Lepisosteus oculatus: one gene and its partners. The protein of the gene in region 1 purifies or fractionates together with the protein of each later gene. This does not show direct contact. Links are inferred from orthologs where the notes say so. Each region holds a gene or a part of one and is shown in the gene's direction. Other genes may lie near its edges. The genes, in order: inavaa, cep170aa and cyth3a.

Region 1 (7,833 bases):
GATGATAATAATAATAATAATAATAATAATAATAATAATAATAATAATAATAATAATAATAATAATAATTGCTTATGCTTATAAAGCGTTTTTCTGGACACTCTACTCAAAGTGCTTTAGAAGTAATGGGGACTCCCACCACCAACGTGCTGCCCCAAAAGAGCACACATTTCACCTGCTGGATGCCTGCAGTTATTTTAAAAACATGGTCTTCACGTGCACCTCTAACAGATGCAAACTACAAGCATATAAAATCTCCATTAAAAGAAAGCCACTTATTCCTGGTAATATCGTGACAAACCAGTGCTTATGGCACAATACAGGACTACACACTGGCCAGGATGCCAGTCCATGACTGGGATCACACACAACTGAAAGCCCTGTGGCTATTCTAGCCAGCAGGGCTCTGGAAGGAAACCAAAGCACCCGGAGAAACAAAACACACCAGTGAGAACGTGCAAACTTCACACAGAAGGCACCCCAGTCTGACAGTTTGAAATCAAGACTAGGAGCAGCTTTAAGACAGCAGTACTATCTGCTAGACAACCAAAAACCTATAAAATACTCAAGAATTCTGTGAGATCTTTCCTTGTTCTTCACCAGAATGTACTTTTGCAGAAACAAGGTAGAACTTTCTTGTTAACATTTATTTGTTAAAATGTACAGCCTTATTAATGACTGTATTAGTCATTATTAAGGCCTATTAGACTGTATTAGTCATTATTAAGGCCCTCACACCTGAAGAAGGCTCCACGGCCGAAACGTTGTGTTCTCTTTCTTCCTTTTTTCAGCATGGAATAAACCTATTACTTGTTCCTTTGCATTATTAAGGCCTAATCTGGAACAGCATACATAAATGAAAATGCATGTTTTAATTCCATTGTCATGCTCTGGGAACTGTTTACCAGGATACTTATGGCACTTATAAATGAGTATATGAGGTGTAATGTTTCATGACCTCCTGTGTCCTCATTTCAAGTGACCAATTTGGAGTTTCCAGTTTGCCAGAGTGATTTGATATTTGTTCTACAAATGACTGCTGCTGCAACAGTTCAGAAACATTGTTTTTTCTAAAAACATACATCTTTCACTGGCTAAAGACCAAGTGCTTAGGGCAGCAGCTTTTGAAACACAGTTAATAAAACTTTAGTGCTTTATCAATGTGAAAGATTTCTGCAGTCTTGCAATTACTTGCTAAGCACTGCTTTAAGCTACCAGGGACAATGTTTATTTGTTACACAAAATACTGATTTTCACATATTAGTCACAGATTACAGACTGTTCAAAGCAATTGAAAAAGGTGGGGGTTTAAAGTATGCATTATTGCTTCAGCTGAGTATTGACCTATCTATTGACCACCTTCTGACAGAACACCACACAGCGGCATTTGCTACAGACAATTCCCTAAAAGCAATTGTGTAGTTTTAAGTATAGCTCAGTTTAAAGGAAAAAGAAATGAAAAAATAGATATTCTTACCTTTTGCTGAATGCTGGAACCTGTGGACTTTTAAGGAGCTATGTCAACGACAGAAAGAGTGCCAGGTAGACTATTTCCTTTGCTGTGGGCAACCCATGTCTGAGCTGAACGCCTGCACAAGAAGATGTCTCATTCAAGGACTTGGTTAACCACGACACTGATGCACCAGCGATAAAGAAACCTTTCCCACGCTGCCTCTGTTCTTCCAACCCCAGGCCACATCATGGCTTCTGTGTCTCGCCCTGAAGAAGTGCTCAAGTCCAATTGTATGAAAGCAGCACAGTATGTCTGGAAACAAAGGTTACAAAGCATCACACCTTGACACAGCCAATTGTTCTTCACCTGTATGAAGAAAAAAGAGGTTTGAAAAAAGGATGTCCCTGTGTTAATATTTCCAGGCTTTAACAAGACCTCCAGCAGTTCTTAATGGTGCTATTTTCAGCTCTAGCTAATTCAACAACTATTACTTTGGAGCTGTTATGGTATCTGTGTTATGAAATTTCATGGAAGGAGGATATCAATATCAAATGAGTACCAAGTATTCTGCGTCTATTTTGCACTTATCTAAAACAGTGTTGAAAGGTGTTAATGGGAGGTCTAAATAGCAGATGACCCAGCTTTACTTGGTTATTCAATAGGCTTTTTAAATGCACTTGACAAGCTTTAAGGTTAGTATTTTGAGAAGTTTGTTTTCAGCATATGGATATAACTTATCTTCAGATAACAGCAGGGCTAGATAAAAGTTTTTTGATAAAAGAAAATGTTTAACTGTTTAATGGAACACCAGAACTCACAGTGGGGTGTGTGATTGAATAATTAACTAGCTCTGCAAGGCCGTACAATAACACAACACACTACTACACACTAAAACAACATACTCCTTGTAACAGTGAAAAGGCTAAGCTACCTGTGGTCTGTAAGGACAGGTAGTCTGTATCGCAATACAGAATTGAACGTACATGTAGGACATCTGTTGGACTGTTGTTTGGGTCAATCTAAAGCACACTCACACACAATCACCATTTAAAAACAATAATTATCTTACAAACTTGTCTGCCCGGTGCTGTACCTGCACATAGGACCCATTAGCTATAACACATCTGTGTACTTGTAAATCACCTTTGCCTGAATCTGCTACGCAAAAATAAGACATAAGCAACCAACAGTTCCACCATTCTTCATGGTTTTGAGAGTAACACTCAAAACAAGAGCACAGGCTCATGAAAGTTAGATGTAAGGCTGGAGGAACTCACAGTGCATGCACCAAGCACCAGAGGAGAATCCAAAGAATGAATTCAGAGAGAAGTGAGCATCCAGAATCTGGGCAACAAACAGTGAGAACTTGGAATGCAGCAAACTCAGAATAAACTGTATGACAGAGTACCTGAGCACTGCTGGATCACAGCTTGTGTAGCTTGAACCACCTGAGGCGGGTATGGTAGGTGATCTCCAGGTGGCACAATACTCCTGTAGAATTAGTTACCATGGTAACTGAGTGACATGTGTGAATACGACCTCACCCCCCAACCGCTTGCAAGTGAGTAGGGCAACTGGACAACTGCTACAGAGTCCCATTCCCAATGTCTCTTTAAACACTTCTCTGAACTCATATTTCTTTAATATGGGCTTCTCTTCTTCAGGTGTCAGCTGTCAGTGACCAACTTGTTTCATCCTATATTGTTTTCCTATGCTCTGAAGTCATCATGTTTTACAAATATCCTCCAGACATCTTGCAAGATGGTGACAGTGGCAGGAGTACCTGGAGCCGCGCGCCCCATGTCCTGTAGCTCTCCTCAGAAGACGCTGTGTCTGTTTGCTCCTGCCTAAATCACCCTGCAGGCTGCTGGTGAGGAGTGTGTGGAGCCATTCCACTTGACTGAATGTCAGAATTAACTTGCCTGCTGCTGACTGTGTTACGCCCCCTCCTTCCCCCCCACCCCAGCCTCCAACTTACACCCACTCAGCACTCCCAGTCCCACAGGCCTTTCAAATGGAAATGAGCCGCCGTTTAATTAGCTGCTCCCTTCCCTCCCACACAAGGCAGGGGAAGAAAAGAGGCCATCTGCTGGGGTGTGGACACCAGGCGCCCCATTCAGTGCAGCAGAGAGTGGAGCATGGTTTGAGTTTGGTGGAGAGGGATCACAGCGATCCTGCTGTCTCCGGGTCACAGAGTTCTGCTGGGCCTCTGCTATAAATTCTACAGTATATCTGCAGGAATGCGCGTGAGTTTCAGGCTGAGCATACTTCCCCGTCGCTACTGGGAGTCCCTCACTCAAACAAATCCCATCATCCCCAGCTCCTGGAAGAACACCTTCAGGTGCTCAGGTTCTGGTACACTGGTGGGATACCTGTAGGAGTGGTGCATAAAGATGTATGGATTGATGCCTTTTATGTAATGGTATTTATATTTTTAATGTAATGTTTGTATGTAAGTCTCTCTGTGTGCAGAACATAGGTACGTGGACGCAAAACAAATATGTGAGAAATAAGAACAAGTATTACCCGCCACACAGCAGGTCAGGTGGAGAAGGGAGAGATTCGGAAATCACACACCTGAAGAAGGCTGCTGTTCGGCGTGGTGGAATTAATCTTTACTTGTTTCTCACGCAGCTCCCCCACTCAAAACTAGTTAATGGATAATACAAACGAAGCCATATAACTTAGAATTTTTGAAACGGTAAATAAAAGCATGTCGCGATAATAGACATTTTTAAAAGCGTAAGCACATATCGAGCGTGTTGTGAAACTGGGGGGGGGGGGGCTTATTTAATGTTCTCTGCAGAGAAGTGATTGATGCGCGGTTTGACGTTGTCCTGGGGTTCGGAATGGGAGGGGGTCGGCGTGAAGACACCAATTCATCCCTTTTACACTACTAACCAGCCAGCTGTCTCGCACACTTGCTTTGTGCAGACAGCTTTTTTTCCCTCTTTCGCGCTATTCTTTTTTTTGAAAACCTTCACAATAACCACCCGCGGTACACCCGTGTGCTGCTTGAAAGAGCACATTGAACCCCAGAACAAAACTGTTGGAGCGGGATGACGGGAATCCCAAAACAGGATGGGGAAGTCGGTTGAATTTTCTTTGTGAAAGCCCATAACGTTAATGCATTGAAAATAAAAAGATTATCCCTACAAAACACACAAGTGAGATCGTGATACACTGTAATACTGTGTTTGAACAACCTTCGCCCTGACTCATTTAATAGCGATCTCTCCACCATGCCGTTACCCCCCATCTGCTTTGGCTCATGGTATAACCCTGAGACAGATGTCCCACTCCAAAACATTTGAGATGCTCAGCAAATACCGCAAAGTGGAAAACGTGGGTGCGTGTAGGGGCTTGTTGTCCTGGTATGGATACAGGAAGATCTTCTCAGCGATCTCAGAATCCCTGGGACTGCTAAAGAAAACAGGAAAAGGTAAAACATTTGCATTTATCCCTGAAACTAAGAGAATAAGACCTAAGAAAATCAAGTCGGTTAGAAGATTTCACTTGCAATTTTTAATTACAATAAGGGAAAAATCCGATTTCTGTCATGTGCTTTAAAAGTCTAAAGATGATCAGGAATGCGCAGTGCTGTTAATACCATTTTGTAACTCGTCTTAGGGGCCAAGGTGTAAGGCTTATAGAGATGATTTTGTCCCTAGTTTGGAAGTTAAAAGTTAATATTGAGTTAATGGGGTACGAGCATCAGTGCGCACAGAATTCGTGCTGGTCGCCGCAGATGCGCTTCAGTCATCTTGTCAAATTAGCTTGATGTGGTCGGAGAGACGACTGCCTGTGGAGGTGTTTGTATTTAGGCAGGAGATTTTACATTTCTCCACGGGTGAGAGGAGACAGGCATTTTTCCCTCTTTTTCTCGGGGTGGGGTCAGTCGGTTTCATTTGTTTAACAACTGCAAGTCATTTCTACATGAGAAGAATAGGGGAATACCTTTTCACGGACGGGGAGGCTCGTCCGTTCCAGATTCCAAATTCAGAAAAGTTTGATTTGCGTGGTTTACATGAAAACGGGATTCTAAGGCTTTGAATTGACGGTATTTAAGATCAAGTGTGAAACAAGATTAAGATGAAGTGAAAAAATGCGTTACATGCTAAACGTAAACAAATACAAATACAGCATAAAATGCAGTGTTACAGCTGTAACCTTTGTCTACTGTCTGAGCCCAAGGGATGCCCCTGTACAGAGTTGTTACTTTGTGTCTCTCAGAGCGTCATTGCAATTTAACTGGTCTGTAGTGCTAGAAACGATTAGAACCCCCCCCAAAAAAATAGTGGCTTCCCATCTGAAGTAATTGATTTCAGAGATTCTTTATCCCTCAAAGTCTGGTGTCAGACTTCTTTGTTGGGAGAGGTGGTTGTTAGCAATGTAATTTCAAGGGCGGATCGAAATACAAAGAGGTAAAAAGCAGCTGTAAGTTTCTCTCAGGCTGCCTCATGGACTTTTGTAAGTATTTCAGATCAGCCGCGTCCAGCACTGTGACCCACCTTTACTTAACCGTTGTTTGCTTTAGAGATTGAACGGCTCATCCTCGACATGCTCGATTTTTCCATGATGAAGTTTATATAGGTTTTCAGTCTTTTCCGTAATTTGGATTTTTTACATATATCGGCACTGTGTTGAAAATAATTATCGGTTCCCTTATGCATGGTTACTGCTGTAGAAGTTTTGCTCCTTTGACAGGGCTTTCCTATACGTGTTCCGCAAACTTTTACTACGGTGAAGCAACCAAATGGTTAGAAATTGTAGTTACTGTAGCCCCTTGCAGTATTACTGTGCTCTAGTAGCTAAGGAATTAAAGCTAAAAACAGACTTGCACAGATCTGATAACAAGACCAAGACAAGAGATAAGCTTCACACACTGATACCGTGAATGGAGAGTTTTCAAAGGCTTGAGCTGGGGAATTTAATTTTGAGGTTTGTTTGTACTTTTCAAGTCGGCCCACAAAGGCCTCCTTGTTTCAGAGGAGGAAGACAAATCCCCCTGGAAAACAGCTGCAGTCATGACTTCTTTTTGTCCCGCAATCCGGGACCTTGTCTTCAAATCGCAACAAATGTGAGAGCTTGTAACCTGTGTGCCAATGCGACCATACATGCGTCCTAATGGAGTGTGCTGCATCTTCTACGTGCGCTGACCAGACCTGACATTAGGTTGACCTTGAAAAAATATACTGTGAATTATTTACGCTGTGTTTCTGCTGTATGCTCTTAGTTTTGCCATGAACTTATTATACTCCAGTTTCTTTTTCTGCTTTTGCTGTGGTTCATCACAGTGGACTTGCAAAACTGCAGTCAACAACGGGATGTCTTATACAGTACTTGTGAACTGTTGAACACTGTGCTCTGGCTCCACAAGCCTGGAAGGAATTCCGGAATTAGAATTCCATGATTGCATTAGAAGCAAAAGCTTTGCCATCTCCCAGTTTACATGTCCATGACCACCAGCCTGGCAGCTGGTGTTGATTCTTGATGGGCATCTGTCATGCTTTGCCCTTCGAAGTCCGTTCAGCAAATAACTTTATGGAATAGGTCCGCAGGGCAGCTGATCTTCTAAGCATAGATAAAAAAATGGAGAACAATCCCATGTATCCAAGTAAGGTGGTGTGTGTTAGTGTATCCCACATGCAGTTTGGTAAGTACTGGAGGAAAAAGAGATAATAATAATAATAATTGCTTACACTTATATAGTGCTTTGCTGGACACTCCACTCAAAGCGCTTTACAGGTAATGGGGACTCCCCTCCACCACCACCAATATGCAGCCCCACCTGGATGATGCGACGGCAGCCATAGTGCGCCAGAACGCTCACCACACATCACCTATCAGTGGGGAGGAGAGTAGAGTAATGAAGCCAATTCAGAGATGGGGATTATTAGGAGGCCATGATTGGTAAGGGCCGGTGTGAAATTTGGCCAGGATGCCAGGGTTACACCCCTACTCTTTTCAAGAAACTGGGATTTTTTTTAATGACCACAGAGAGTCAGGACCTCAGTTTTATGTCTCATCCGAAGGACGGCACCTGTTTACAGTATAGTGTCCCTGTCGCTATACTGGGGCATTAGGACCCACGTGGACCACAGGGTGAGCGCCCCCTGCTGGCCCCACTAACACCCCTTCCAGCAGCAACCTTAGTTTTTCCCAGGAGGTCTCCCATCCAGGTACTGACCAGGCTCACACCTGCTGAGCTTCAGTGGGCTGCCAGTTGTGAGCTGCAGGGTGATATGGCTGCTGGAGTAATGTAGTTGCCACAATTAGCTGTTCTGGTTTCCAGCAGCGATAGTTTTTGACTGCTGGTAAAGTTTTCGCTGGAGTATATAAGTAAGGGAGCAAGCGTGCCAAAACACAAAGAGCCCAGT
Region 2 (7,330 bases), on another chromosome or scaffold:
CTTTGTGAGAAGCTGAAAGGATAAATAGAACTCTTTCTGATAATTTGCAGCATTTAAAATGTTTTAAGGAAAATACTCTTAATGTGAAAAGGTTAAAAATGAGTAAAACATTTTTAAAGAAGCAACAATTATTTCTGTGTCAATGTCTCATAATTCCCATTGTAAAAGTCACATTAGTTCATTGTTCAAATGTAAATGGTTTAAACTATGCAAATAATAACAGATAAAATATTAATTTTCCCACATAAATCATTAAAAAGCCGTAATATTGTCTCCAAAATTTCCTGGAGGGACTGATCAGCATGTGTTGGCGATCAGCACCGATATGAGAGCCCATTGGCAGGCAGGCTCTATTGCTGAGTGTGGCGAGTGGCCCATGACATTGCACAGTTGTACATTGGTCTGAACAGGCCGGCTCGCTTAACAAATCCGACTGCGAGGGCGGTTCGCAGTTATGCTCTCTGTACCTTGGGGGAAGACTTCTCCCTTGAAGGGGAGGAAGGTAAGGACTCCTTTTCTTGCTTGCGTAGCAGGGATCGTAGCTGATTGACTGCAAAACATAGAGAACTTTTCGTTAGCGTGATTATATTTTCATTCTGGTGCCGCCATATGCTACTTTTGTGAGAAACAGGCATTTCACATCGCGTGCATGTTGGTACCGATAATGGGCATGTATGGTAATGTATTTCCACACTTTCAAAGCATGCAAGAAAGGTTAGAGACAAGAGGGATCCAGTTGGGCAGCTCATTTGTTAGCTACAGCCAATTGCTCATTCATTTCATCAGAGAAGCCAGGTCAATAGCATTTACAACACGACTAAGTGACATCTTCCAGACCTCCACAGCCGTTCAGGTGAGGATGCGCCTCATGTTCTCAGTTCAGATTTTTTTTAAAAATCACTACTCAGAACATAAAGTCTTTCATTTCTACAGCAAACCTCTCTTTTCAAATCATGTTAAAGGCCTTGAAGTCATCACATAAGAAAAATACATTTCAGTAAGATATCAGTTTCAACATATTATCATACATTGAGACACAGGAGTTTACACACACTCCCGTTGCTCTGCTACAACACAGAGAGAGCACGGAGAACATCCATGGCCTCAAACAGCTGTGGAAACAGTGATCACGAAGCCACAGCAATGGGATCACTGGCACCAAGTTTCGCATGGGCAGTGACCGTTCTCCAGAGGCAGCCATCAAACACTCAAGGACTCTGGGATGGCAGGAATCGATGCAGAATTCACCTCTGGCCACCGAATTCCACGGCAGCCACAGAAAATTACTACCTGCATGCAGGTTTGCTGCAGCATCAGTGAAGCACCTGTAGACAAACTTGACTGGCCACATAAAATGGGCCACAGATGAGATACCATTTGTCTCATCTCATGTCCTGCTACTACACCTCCTTGTAGCTTATACTTTTCAAGGCCAGCAGCCATATCACCCTGCAACTCACAATTGGCAACCCACTGAAGCTAAGGAGGTGTGAGCCTGGTCAGTACCTGGATGGGAGACCTCCTGGGAAAAACTAAGGTTGCTGCTGGAAGAGGTGTTAGTGGGGCCAGCAGGGGGCGCTCACCCTGTGGTCCATGTGGGTCCTAATGCCCCAGTATAGTGACGGGGACACTGTAAACAAGCACTGTCTTTCGGATGAGACGTAAAACTGAGATCCTAACTCTCTGTGGTCATTAAAAATCCCAGGGTGTTTCTTGAAAAGAGTAGGGGTGTTACCCCGGTGTCCTGGTCTAATTTCCCATTGACCCTTAACAATCATGGCCTCCTAATAATCCCCATCTATGAACAGGCTTCATTACTCTGCTCTCCTCCCCACTGATAGCTGATGTGTGGTGAACGTTCTGGCACACTATCATCCAGGTGGATGCTGCACATTGGTGGTGGTGCAGTTGAGTCCCCATTACATGTAAAGCGCTTTGATTTGAGTGTCCAGAAAAGCGCTATATAAGTGTAAGCAATTATTATAATAATTATAAGATCGGTGCAGTAACTCTTAACAGCATTGTCCAATGCAATCCCTCTCTCCAAACCCTGATGGTGGCATCCTACCAGCAGCTGTTAGTGTGCTGAGCTCAAGCAACGCAACACTGAGGACAACACACTCCTGCACTGAATGAAAGCCGACAACTTTCAAGGTCTGTATCCTGCTGTAAAACACGACAGGGAACACGACTGTACCTGAACGGTTCTAGCAACACCTGCAGATAACATAATGCAATTTTCCAGGACGCCACTAACTTCTTAAGATATTGAAAACAGTTTGAAACTTGCTCTTCAAATGGGAGACTGAAAACATGAGATTTTAAAGAGCTACAAGACTGGCTTTTCATTCAGCAGGGTTCAACTAAGTATCTGAGAGCCCAGTGAAAAGCAGAAAACAGAAGGAATTGGGGTTCTTCAGGCCCGCAGCTGTGAAGTGAGGAGCTGACCTCGTGTTTTCTCAGACCTGGGGTTTGTCGGGCGTGCGCGGTGTCAGACCGGCGGGCGCGGGCCGTACCTGCGGCGCTGTGCTGCAGCTGGTGCCAGCTGTCCCGGGACCCCGCCTGCTCCGCGCCTCGTCCCGCCGGGCTCCTGGGCCCCAGCATGCTCCGCAGCTGCCGGGCGCTCCTGCTGGCTCGGTCTGTGGAGGAACAAGCCGGGTGAGTGACACCGCAGCGAGCCTGTCTGCCCCTCCCGTGAAGACCCGGGTGGGCAGGGGCCGGCATGCGAGCTCAGCGAGAAGCCCTCTCCTCCGGAGGAAACAGGAATCACAGCAGGACGGCCGCACGGTCTCAACAGCACGGTTCTAAACACTGACAGCAACACAGCAACGGCAAGAAACCTTGCACAATTAAAGACTGTGTTGAAATTGTTTTTTCCCCCCACATTGTTTATATAAAGACCTGACAGTCTCCTGCAGCCAACAGGGGTTAATATGACTATTTATGTCCTTACAACAGATTCATAAATAAATGACCCTATTGCATAGGTTTATATGGAAAACCGGAACATTTCTATAAAAACCTAACAGTCACCTACTGTACAATATATAACGTATTGAATTAAGGGATGCTTTCGTCCAGGGAAATACATTTTATTCTATCATTGTATTAGGATTAATGTAAAGAAGCGTACATTTCAAATTATTTAGAAAAAAAAAACATTTTGATGCTATCTATATCGAAAAAGATTTTTCATTTTTATCCAGTAAGAAAAGGCCTTGCTTGCATTTCCCCGGGGTTTGGCTGCAAAGCCTTTCCAAAGGGATACTCTTCCACTCCTTGAGGAAGGAGCGTGTTCCTGACAGCCCAATCGATCCGCTGTATAGGTGCATGTCTACACCGCGAACCCATAAATATTTATATCTGCTGAGTCGCATTGATCTGCCGAAGAGCACGTAAATTATAGAAAGCAGAGACTATAATTGAAGAATATTTAATAAAGTGTAATAAAGTATTTTATCGCTGCATTAAATCAAAAAAACTCAACTACACCATACGTTTATCGTATCACTGTATTACGTTACCATACAAAGTAGCAAAGAGGCTAAGCGATATAATTGTAAAAAAGTGTAGATGTTGCCGGTAAACGTCAACTGGTATGCAAGCCGTGTAACTGTATTTTCAGTTTACAGACACCATTATAAGCATCCCTGTACATCTGGTCATTAGAATCGAGCTGTTCCTCTCCTGGTCACCTCTCAGAGCCTGTTGGTATTGCTCCAGCTCCCCGTCATCCTCGGACTCCACAGTGGGCTTCATGGATTATACAGACCGGCTGGGGGGCACGAAATTCAAGGGCAGACTTCACACCCGCACTCGCGTTCCCGAGCAGAAGCTCTATTTTATTTACCCCAAATTTTTAACCGAAGAGCCTCAAGCACAGCCAATCGGTGACGCGCCTGCCACTTCCTCAAACTGGTCCCAGGTTTCCTTGGGAATGGTAGTGCTCTTCGGGCGTCAGCCTAACGTCCTCAGGCGGAGAATAGGAAACGCAGAAACTACAACTCCCAGAGTTCCGCCGCGCGTTGCCAGGGAGGCCGCCGCCATGCTGCCCCTAGCTACTGAGCATTCCGTCGGCTTGCCAAAAAGGCGACCCCTCCTCTGCCTTGCTCTTTTCACGATTTCCATAGGTCCCGGCTCACGTCAATCCCCCGGAGTCCTGCCTACTCCTCCGCTCTCAGCGGCGCTGATTGGCCAGAAGCACCCTCAGGTTGCGACGTCCGTCCCCGTTCGTGCCAGCGATTGGTCCGTGCGGACGCCCGTCGGCGTGGAGGCCGCGCCCAGAGGGTCGGGCTGGAGCTGCAGGCGCCTGCGGGCTCCGGCGCCGTTATGCGAGGAGCGGCAGCGTTATTGCTGAGCAACCGAGACAAATAGGCGAGCAGCCACATACAGGGGCTGGGCTAGTCTCTGTGTGAGCGCATTGTGTATATACGGCTATAGTGGAGTGGACACACGTATACACTCACAACAGTCCAGAAAAGGGTAAGTAGGAGACTTGGCTTCTTATTTCTTGTAAGGATGCGTCGTTAGTTTAACGCTGGTCGGGTTGGCGAGAACAGGGCTAATAATAAAGCACAATGCACTTGAATACTGAAACGCTTTTCTCCGTCTCCATGTCTGTGGAGCTCGCAGCGGTACAGTCTGGCCGGGACCCCCCGGCAAGCGGCTCTGCCACACGGGCGGGGGGACCGGGGAGTCTTCTGTCTGCTCGGGGCCGTCCGGTTAGTCCGGTTCTTTCCAGAAACGCGTCCCCGGTGCAGGGGGTGTTCCTGCGCGGCGGTGACACCTCGGCTCTGCTGGGTGAGGGTGAGGGGGGGCGCGGTTAGCCGTCCTCGTGAAGGCGATGGAAGAGAGGCAGGGGCGGATAGGGGTCCCCCCCCCCCCCTCCCCTCCTCCATGTGCGAGAACCCCCCGGTCTGTCGGGGTGCGGGGAGCTCGGGCGAGGGGGCGCTGGGAGGATGTTGCCGGGGTGCACGGCCGCACGAGGCTGCGGGATGAAGGAATGAGCCATTTCCTGCCTGCTCCCAGACGGGCTGAGTCCTGAAGATGTCGGGGGGGCCGGGAGCGCAGAAAATGGATCCATCTCTTTCAAACGTGCAGCAAAACAGTGGAGAATGTAACGGGAACAGAGACTGGGTCCCGCCAATCCGCTGTCAGTTTTTGTCCTGACTGCCCCCCCCCGCACACACACACCCCACTCCCAACATCTGTGGCGCGGATGGCTGCAGACCGACGTTGTTTTTTTTTTTAATTGTTTGCCGACGTTTCATCTGGTTGGCACAGTACATAATATTTCCGAGGCAGTGAAACGGCGGTTTTGAGGGAGTGACCCTTTTTCGGGGAACCCCCCCTCCCCCGCGCACCCCCGAATAAACGGGCTTTTCCAGGGGACCGTTACTCCAGTCCCGACCCGGTTGGGCGTTCACAGATTTGGTCTGTGCTCTGGGTGTGAACGAACATGCCCTGTGTATAATGTGCATGGGCGCTGTTGGTTTTGCGGGGTAGCGGGGTACCCCGGTTTCTGTTAGTGTGGCACCAGCAGGCCCGGCTCTGTGCCGGATGGACGGCGTGGCTCTGCTGTGTGGTGCGGGGCCGCCGAGAGTCCCTCACCCCCACGGAGCTGACACTGGGGTATCGGCTGTCAGAGGTGCGATATCAGCCGATGTCGGAGAGATCCCCTTGCGTTTATCGCTGAAGTGACAGTGGAGTAATCACAGCCAGTGTGTGTGGAAGTCCTGGGTTTGTGCCAGTGCACGTCACAGCCCGCCTCTTCCTCCTCCTCCTCAGTATTTATTTAAGAGAGACGGGATCCGTTACCAGCCCTGGGCCTATCAGATGGAGGACATCCTCCATATCCTGACTGGGAGCTCTCTGTCAGGCCAGGAGACACGCAGCGCCGCTTCAGAAGGTGTTAACTACAAGCTGCACAAACTCAAATGTTTTTAATAATGACATTGTTGTGGCGGAGAGTTGGTTTCTGAGTGCAGACATCCCTGTTCTACACTGATTAACGTCCTTGGGTTATAGCCACAAAAGTCTTTTTTTTTCCATGGCATGTGTATCTCCAGGACAGGACAGAGCTGTGTGTGATGTTCAGAAAAGATTTCTTTTTTTTTTTTTGATGTTTCTCATAAGCATTGCTCGTCTGACAGATCGATTATGTCCATCTGCTAAACAACTTGGCCGTGTGGCCAAGGTTTTTGTTTTATTCCAGTTTTAAACGTATCTCCGGTCGCTCTCCCCTTGCCAGGGAGGTGAGGGTGAACCTGAACACTGGTAAAGGTGTGGTGTGTTGCCACTGGTGTGCAGGCGGAAGCTGGCCTGGGTGTATTTTGAGTGCTGTGGAGCTGCAGAAAACATGGGGCTGCTGAGGTGAAAATGCTCCTCCTGGGCTGTCAAATGGTCTCGCAGCTCTGCCGTATCCTCTTAGATGGAGTCGTCTTCCAGCCTGGTGGTTTTGCAGTGACAGAGGAGGCAAAAAGACCATCTGAACACGAGAGGTTTTTTTTCTTGCCGTGAGAGGTTCTGTGGGTCTCGCTCGGCGTGGCAGCGAGAGGCCAGGAAGAGACCAGCGCCGGCCTCCCTGCTGGACGTCCCGTTTGAAGGAAGCGCAGACCTGGGCTAATGGAGCCGGAATGAGGAGAGCTGACTCCAGCTCTTCCTGCTCGGTCAGTCCAATCCATCATCCTCACAGCTGCTCGATTCGGGATTCTATCGCAGAGGTGAACCGAGCCTTCTCTGCGACTGCAGTCACTCAGTGTGACTCTCAGGTAGCCGCAGTGTGTGAAAGCTGTGAAACGGAGCCGTGCAGTGTGCTGCACAAACTGTCCCTCGCCCATGGGCTCGTTGTGTTCTTGCCAACCTCTCCTGCTCTGGCCGCGCGGCCGTGCTCTGCTCTTTCACGGGTGAGACCCGCGCAGCCTGGGGCGCTGGAGCTGGGCAGCAGCGGGCCGGCGAGCCCCGTCTCAAGCGGCAGGAAGTGGGCGGAGATAAGACGGGCTCCTCGGGTCTGGCGCCCTCACATCAACACCGTTTAAAAAGGAAACCTTGAGGCGAAAATAAGACCTCAGAGGAATCCCGATTACACACAGAAATATCTCTGATCAGCCCAACACTTGAAGATTCTTAATAAGTAAGCTGCTGTATGTAATCCTGTGGGTCTCTGTAACTGACTGGAAGGAAACGGACTGTAACATTACATGATCATCCAAATGTATGTATTACATAGTATATAACATAGTGTATACTGGTTGTGCAGTAACTCTTTGCAAGGTGTATTGAATTTTGGGCATCTCTGTTTTGTCTGATTGTTTCATCTTTGGCCCTTACT
Region 3 (7,529 bases), on another chromosome or scaffold:
CGCTGTGGCCAGGCCCTTGTAAGTGTTTGGTCTAATTTTGACACCATGTTGAAAAACTATTACTGGGTGTAATCCCAGTGGGTGTCAAAAGGTTGCTTTCACAGTCTGAGCCATGCAGTGGATGTGATGCTGAGCCAAACGTATCTGAATGGACTGTAGTTCGGGGCAGCAAGAACAGGGCTGTATCCAGTTTATAGACCACGGCCGCAGCCACCAGAGAGCATGGCTGGGAGATCTTCACTACATCCACAGCACTCCATAGGAGTTCAAGTGACACAACAGTCTGCTCCACTCTGTAAGACGCTACCAGTTCCTTAATTATGTCATTCATAATTAGCAGGATCACTATGACATTCAAGGCAATGGTTTTATTAAGGTACCACGATGAAGTGGATTAACTCTGAATGTCCCCCATCATAACCAAACAGTGCTGACTATCTGCCCTGATGCTTTCTTAACAAATGTGGACTTCTTTTTTACTCAGCCAAAGAATCAATAGGCTAAAACCTTTTTTTCACGAATACTGGCACCACTGTTTCCTTGGCAGCAGTAAACTGTAAGTGAAGGACTATTTTTAGGCCTGGAAATGGTAAAAGGGTGTGAGACGCTGGGCTGGAGTCTGGCTCACGGCAAACGTCCCTCGAGCTCCTGAACTTGAGGAGCAGATGAAAGAGAAAGCTAGAAACCAGGGGGTTCAGTGTGTCACTGTGCTGCCCCGTATCCCGGAGCAGGAGGGAGGTTGAAACGGCATGCCAGCGAGCCAGAGGCGCTCCAGCAGGAAGGATATGACCGAGGGAGTTTATTTATGTACAGCCTGGAAAGGTGGATTACAGTGACAGTGACTGTGGTGACCGCTGCTGTACGTGCTCTGTGTCAGAGGCCTCGTCCCCGGGGGGGGGGGGGGGGGGGCAGCCTGACTCAGGCTCCGTCACAGAGACCCTGCGGACCCCCGCCGCCCCCAGCCAGCAGACCCCTGTGCTACAGGGCGTCCTCAGCGAGTGCAGAGGCGCATTCTGACCAACCGACTTCTGCCGCTCTTTACTCTGCAAACTCAGGAGCACAACCCCCCCCCTCCAGCTACTGCAGTTCATCAGTCTGGGAGCATGAGGGGAGGGCATTCAGCTTCAGCCATGTTCCACACTCCCACCACCCTTTGGGTAAAGAAGTGCCCCCTGGTGTCGTACATAAAGCCCCTATTCTTTCTGAAACCGCAGGGCGGGGATCTGGACTGTGCACCATTCAGCCCCACCTGGACACAGGGACTCCAGCCAGCCGGGAGCACAGACTTGTTTTGTTTCTCCTGAGCATGCCGTCTCCTCTCAGTTTCTAAATGAGCACCTTGTGGTTTTCTCAGAAGGGCGCCCGGCTCCCGGGGCATGACGCAGAGCACTTCTCCCCAGGAAAGGGGAAGGGCCCTCTGGAGCTTCCCCTCGCTCTCCGGTAGCGGCTGTCTGATCGCTCCTCGCTGGAAGGTATGAGCTCACTGCTCCGGCCAGCCCCCTGCTGTCCCTGTCCCATTCCTGGAAGGACACCGCTGAGCCGCCTCGGAACACATTCCCCGCTGCTCCGTGCCTGGGGAGTTCCTGGCGATTCTGGCCTGTTTCTTCTCTCAGATCTGAACACAGATGGGGAGACGGAAAGTGGAACGCACTGATGCTGCTTTCCTTGGATCGAAGGCACTCTTTTAAAAATACTTAATGTCCCGGCTAGTTCGTATGAACAGAAACACCCCTCCCCTCTTCGCCTTTCTGGTCGCCGTCTGCCATCCTGGATGTAACATGTACAAGTACAAAGGAGCAAAATCTTTTTTTAAAAAACCCCAACAATTAACGATACTTTATCATTACTTTGGCAGAATGGCCGCTGTGTGTCTCCCAGGTGGGAGTGCAATGCCGTACTTTCACGCTGGTCTACCTGTTGGGAACAGATCATTGGCTGCTGTTCTCTGCTCTGATTTCCGTACCCCACGCACACTCCCGCACACGTGAAGATTGAGGAAGTGTAAGCAGACCACTCCCTTTCCCCCTTCGAGCCAATCGTCTTTCGGCACGTCATCACCCCCCCGCCCTCCCAGGATGCTCAGCTCTGATTGGAGGAGAGGTGTGTTGCTCACCATTTGCGATGGTGACCCCCGGTCACAGTTGGCTGGTGACCTGAGCTCTGCTCAGGCCTGTCAGCTGAGCCATCCGGTCCCTCGAAAGATCGTCTCTCAACTAAAGCGGCTCTGTCCTCCTCTGTTTGCCTGTTGTAACATGTGGCACAGGCTAACAGATCACAGTGGAAAACCAGGAGGAAAATGAAATAATGCTCTAACGCTGTCACTGATGGTCTGTCTCCGATGCCAACCGGGAGAAAGCACGAACAGCACAGACAACCGACTCTAGTGAAAATGACTGCGGAGTGTGTTTGGGTGCTAATCGGTTTAGCACAGCAGTCTCCCCTCTAAGGGCAGAGGAAGGAACCGATTTCAGGTTTCACTGGATGTTCATCCATCTCGCAAGGCAGCCAGAGTTCATTTAATTTCTGCTGTCCTGGAGGCTGACTACGAATTTGCAGTGCTCCTTCGCTGCCTCTTGATTTTATTGCAGGCCGCAGAATGAATCTGATTTTTCTAACAAATGCAGACTCTGGTGATTTAATAACAATAATGACCACATGAGACTACTGCACATGAAACCTTGCCTGTTTCTCTCTCTCTCTCGTGATGAAAAGGGCACATTCTCAGAGAGAATGTAAATTAGACCCCGGAGCGGGCGAGGGGACGGGTTTGACCATTTACAAAACAGCCCGAGGGGCATGAATGATCCTTTCTTTGGAGCCACAGCTCTTTCTCTCTCTCCATTCATGCCAGCTGTCGGCCTGTGAACGGGCTAATTCTGCTCCTGTTAACCAGAGGCCACCGCCGAGCTGCAGTGACTAATTCACCGGCCTTGGCCAGGAGCGAAAGACTTCAGGCCCCGACAATACAGGCGTTTGAATCTGCTGCTTTATATTCCAGCCAGGACAGAGGACAGCACAGCCCCTGAATGGCGGCCCTTCATCCTCCCAGCGGTCCCCGTCGCTGAAAGGGCCCTGTTGGCTTTCGCTCCGAGGAAGTCAATAACCGACTCGCCGGCGTGAAACGTCCCGTGGTTGAAGACATTAGCAGGGTGAAAGAAGACCCAACGGCCGGGGGGGGGCAGCGTCTGAATCAGCTGAACGTCACCGTGGGCTGCAGAGCCACACACGTCGAGCTCCTCAGTCGCGTGCCGCATTCACGTCGTGCCCAGGGGGCGTCTGCGGCCTCGCTCGTACACTCCACTGGGCTGGCCCGTCGTGACAGTGCCATCACGGGTATTTCCGCTGCGGATCCCCGGAGGGTGAGCAGCTGTGTCACTGGAGCCGTGCGGCTGGGCTGGGCCGGGCCGGGCCTGCTCAGGACAGGGAACCACTCACCGCTGTCAGTGGTGTCAGTGGTGCTGGGCAGCCAGCAGGTGGCGCTGTTCCTCTGGAGCACGGTTTCCGCGCTGATGTCCCCAGGGTGGTGACTTGGGGACACGGTTTGGAAAAGATCTGAAACTTTAGGTCCTGACTGCTTGGTCGGATTGTCATTAAGATGAGATAGCTGGGGCCACAGACAGATTTCTGCTATTGCAGAAATGTGGAAAGGTGAGAGAAAACCACCCAACTGTGAAGTATTCGATGGGGATATTGGCCCTTTAGACTCATAAATTACTCAAGATATTTAAACACATAAGGCCACATAAATACAATCATGAGTGTGAATAAATTGTGCAAACAAACTGCAGCCTTTCTTGATATAAAGCGACAGATCTTGGGAAACGCCAGAGAATTTGCAGAAATGCAAATCTTCACAATGTGCGCCGGTAAAAAAAAAGCAGATAATTTTTATCATAGTCATAATGATATGCAATAACTCCATGCCTCTACTTTCAGTTTGTGATATAAATATATTTGCTTTTCATTTGACGTACATGTTACGATCATCAGACAGGTTAATCAGATGTGCCTTTCGGCACTACTAACCGGTTTGATTACGACTTAGGAATTGATGTAAAAAACGTATTCAAACCACTTGTATACATTTCACTTGAGAGGCACAGCACTGAAAATACCCTTCGCCCGTGCACTGGTCACGTTTAATACAGTCAATACTCATACCTATTGCTGTAAATGGAACGGGCTGTATTTGAATTTTAATTTCTGATGCACACCTCCGAATAACAACGTACACCCCCATACTCGTGTCATTACAAGGCGGGCGTCTGTCAATATCTCTCTCCCTGTGTGACACTGCATCCTCCAGTCTCACCAAACCCCTAGAGTCCAATAATCAAGTGCGATGCCGTGATGCAAATATTCTGTCAGTTTTTAACGCAGTAGGATCACCACCACACACACCAGCCCCCGGTGTCTCGCAGACGAGCGGCCCCGCGCGTCACGTGCCGGGGGCCAGGCCGCGGCGGGGGCGGGGCCGGGCGGTGACGTAGCCGCTAAGCGGAGCGGCGCCGGTGGAGGCGGCTCACACATAGTGGACCTGCACGGCGCTCCGCCTGCGTCTCGCCGCTGCACAATTATTTAAAACACTACTTGAACGATCTAGGATCTATACCTCCGATTAAGGCGATCCCGCAGCTTCCGGACGTTTGGTGTTAGTTGAATACGCTCCAGTTTCAATACATACAAATTATTTTTGTGTGTCTGTGTGTGTGCAGAATCCCTCATCCGCCCGGCGTTAAGAGGATTGATTCTGTACTTGCTTTTTTTCGCAATTGAATCCGGCTGTTTTCCTCTGAATTATTTTCTGTCCTGGGAGGTTTAAGAAGGTTTTTGTCTCCTCTGTGTGGACTTTGTACTCCTTCCCGATAGACATGGAAGAAGACATTTCGGGTAAGCGATGTGCGGTGTTTTGTTGTCTGTCACTGTGCGGCAGCTTGTTGGCGTGTGGTGTGTTATGATATTTCTCAAGTGTTATAGTACAGTGCAGCTCTGTGTATGATTTTAACCCTTCGTTTGTTTTCTGAACTAACAGTAGCTGTCATTCTGAAGGAGGACTGTCGTAGGTTGTTGAAATTAAGTTTTTCCTCGCAAATACCGCTTGATCGCTAACTCACGATTATTTTCCAACCGTATTTTGTTATAGAAGTGGGCGCACCGGGACAACGTTTGTTTTACAGACTATTAATAGGCTCTCTCCTCTGTTATCTACAGTATATAAGTACGTATATCCGATATCATTGGATACTCTGTTGTCCTTTTAAAATGCTCTACAGCTTGCACAGAAAGTAACCGTCAGATAAGAGAACAGAACTGCTTTTTTCCCGTAAATGACGTTTGACATCTGAATTCAATTACATTCCTGGGAGGAACATGTCTCGCGCCCCTCCTTCTCCCCGCACATCTGGATTTCCAGCCAGTGGCGGGTATCTGCATCTGCAGACCCCCCCCGGTGGGGGGCGGTCGGGGGCAGCTCTTGGATTCACAGTGGGGCCGCTCCAGTGTGGTGTCGCCGCTCCGGTTTTGAGGTTTGGATCCTGAGAGAAGCCGGAGTGAAAGAAGAAAGCCCTCCAGCTCCGTTCTTTCAGTGATGAAAAGGTGTTCTGTTCCCTAACACCCTGGACACAGATTCAGCTGTCTCCGTAAAGGGTCTGCACTTAGCCCAGACCTCCGCAATTATTCTTATACGTTTATGCATAATCATAATAATAATAATAAATTCCTTATACCTGTATAGTGCTGTTCTACACAGCACTCAAAGCGTGTTACAGGTAATGGGGACTCCCCCCCACCTATGTGCAGCCTCACCTGTGTGATGCATATCCGACCCGTTTTTAGGACGTGAACGACGCATTCCTCTGAATCCTACACGGATTCTCTCTGAACCGTCAACGCAAACCTCCCGCTGCGCATGAAATCGATGCGAACGCGTCAGTCCTGTTGCGCCAGGCTCCGTGAGCGTCGACGGGAATGCAGCTGTAGCACGCGTTTGAATTGAAGGCTGCGATCTACAGTATAATTGAACGGGCTGGCGTGGCACAGGAATGGATGTGCTGTAGTTGCAATGTATCTGTTGCATGGCGCGGAGGAATATGACATCAGTGCTCCTCGCCTCTTTGCGGGGGGGGAGGTGGAGCGAGCGGTGTGCACAATTCCGTAGCTATAGCCCAGATCCCAAATCCCCCTCAAGCCCTTTCTTTCTGAGGCACCGTCAGGCAGCGCTCGTGTCTCTCAGCTCAGTTCAAAGCGAACGCGCAGGCAGCTGCAGGACTCGCTCCGGTCTGCGCCTCGCCAGCACGATTTCACGGGCAGGATCCCGCTGATCGGCAGTTCGTTTCTGTGGCTGATAATCCGGCCGCTGTTGCCGGCGATGGGGTGATAATACCGTTCCCCCCGCTAGCTCACGTGTACAGCAGTTATTCACGGGCACGTGCCGTGTTACTCTCGCAACTCGGGTTTTGTCATTTTAACATTTTGTTCCCCCCCCAAGTCCTGAGTTTATCGCAGTAAGAATTTCATATCAAGAGCCCGAGCTTTAGTAAGAGTTAACTTGCGACACTTTTTCATGGATTCGTTCAAAACGACAAGGGGAGAAAAAGCGTGACAAAAAAACCCATTTCATTCCTCCGCCTCGGGTCAATCCACTTCCTCAACAGTCCTGACCTTTGGGCTGGAGCTCAGGAAGGGGCCCGTGTGGAGGTCCGGCCTGTCCGAGCTCACCGGGACCGCACCAGCAACTCCTAGCTTACAGATATGAGCCTTAGGAAGAGCGCTTAAGGGAACGTGTTTCATCAACACCTTTGATGAAAAAGTGATCAAAGGAGTGCAGAGCTGAGGGGCCATTTTGGGCATCTTGTCCTGAAAGGATTGAAGAAGCTGCCGACTGTAATCAGGAGGTCAGCAGGGCCCAGGACAGAGGCCAGTGGGCTCTCAGCGAGTGGTTGGCAGTGAAGCCCAGTGCTGAGACAGGGCCTCTGCTCGTCACGCTGACTTCCCGAAGGGAGGCTGGGGCACAGGAGGAGGAGTCTTCGACTGCCCTGGAAGGGAGAGGTTTTCCAGGAGCCCAGGCTGCCTCTGCACGGCCCGCTTGACGCTCAGGGCGATTCATGGAAGCGCCTCCTTGAAGATCTCCGCTGGGACTGGTCCCCTCTCCTGCAGCAGGAGCGGTTGGTTCTCCCCTGCTGGTGGGTGAAGGCACAGAGCGCTCTTTGTGCTCTGGGAAGAGGCTCCCCAGGGGCGGGAGAGCCCTCGGTCTTGTGATGGGCACTGCCGCGAGAAACCACGCGTAGGACCGTGGCAGCACCAGCCCAGGTCCCTGAGGCACCTCCCCCTCGAGCGCGAGGGCGACGCTGTGGTGCCAGTCTGTAAGGAGCACAGGAGGGCTGAAGCCCTCAGTGCCGCCTGATCCAGGCAGAGCCCCAGCTTGGAGGTCAGAGACTCTCGTGAGTCCGCCCTGCTCGCAGACCTGAGCTGTCTGCTGGTTCACTCCTCCTCCTCCTCCTCCTGACCTACTGCCAGGAAGATGGATCCGG

What was found.
Region 2: the proteins of inavaa (region 1) and cep170aa purify together in Homo sapiens (co-immunoprecipitation; 3 studies listed by BioGRID and IntAct, counting the BioPlex papers as one, with this or other methods). This does not show direct contact. The link is inferred for Lepisosteus oculatus from reciprocal best matches to the Homo sapiens genes INAVA and CEP170.
Region 3: the proteins of inavaa (region 1) and cyth3a purify together in Homo sapiens (co-immunoprecipitation; 3 studies listed by BioGRID and IntAct, counting the BioPlex papers as one, with this or other methods). This does not show direct contact. The link is inferred for Lepisosteus oculatus from reciprocal best matches to the Homo sapiens genes INAVA and CYTH3.

Annotation. Positions count from the first base shown.
Region 1 is NC_090700.1:30,670,396-30,678,228, reverse strand, and holds the start of inavaa (innate immunity activator protein), read left to right. Parts: upstream 1-4,791; 5' UTR 4,792-4,895; intron 4,896-7,833. UniProt on the Homo sapiens protein: Expressed in peripheral macrophages and intestinal myeloid-derived cells, is required for optimal PRR (pattern recognition receptor)-induced signaling, cytokine secretion, and bacterial clearance.
Region 2 is NC_090712.1:1,042,308-1,049,637, reverse strand, and holds the start of cep170aa (centrosomal protein of 170 kDa), read left to right. Parts: upstream 1-4,277; 5' UTR 4,278-4,482; intron 4,483-7,330. Other genes in the region: sdccag8 (serologically defined colon cancer antigen 8 homolog), read right to left, coding at 468-550, 2,517-2,639, 3,696-3,759.
Region 3 is NC_090714.1:16,758,829-16,766,357, forward strand, and holds the start of cyth3a (cytohesin-3), read left to right. Parts: upstream 1-4,505; 5' UTR 4,506-4,871; coding exon 4,872-4,890; intron 4,891-5,805; exon of another isoform or gene 5,806-6,032; intron 6,033-7,529. UniProt on the Homo sapiens protein: Promotes guanine-nucleotide exchange on ARF1 and ARF6. Promotes the activation of ARF factors through replacement of GDP with GTP. Plays a role in the epithelial polarization.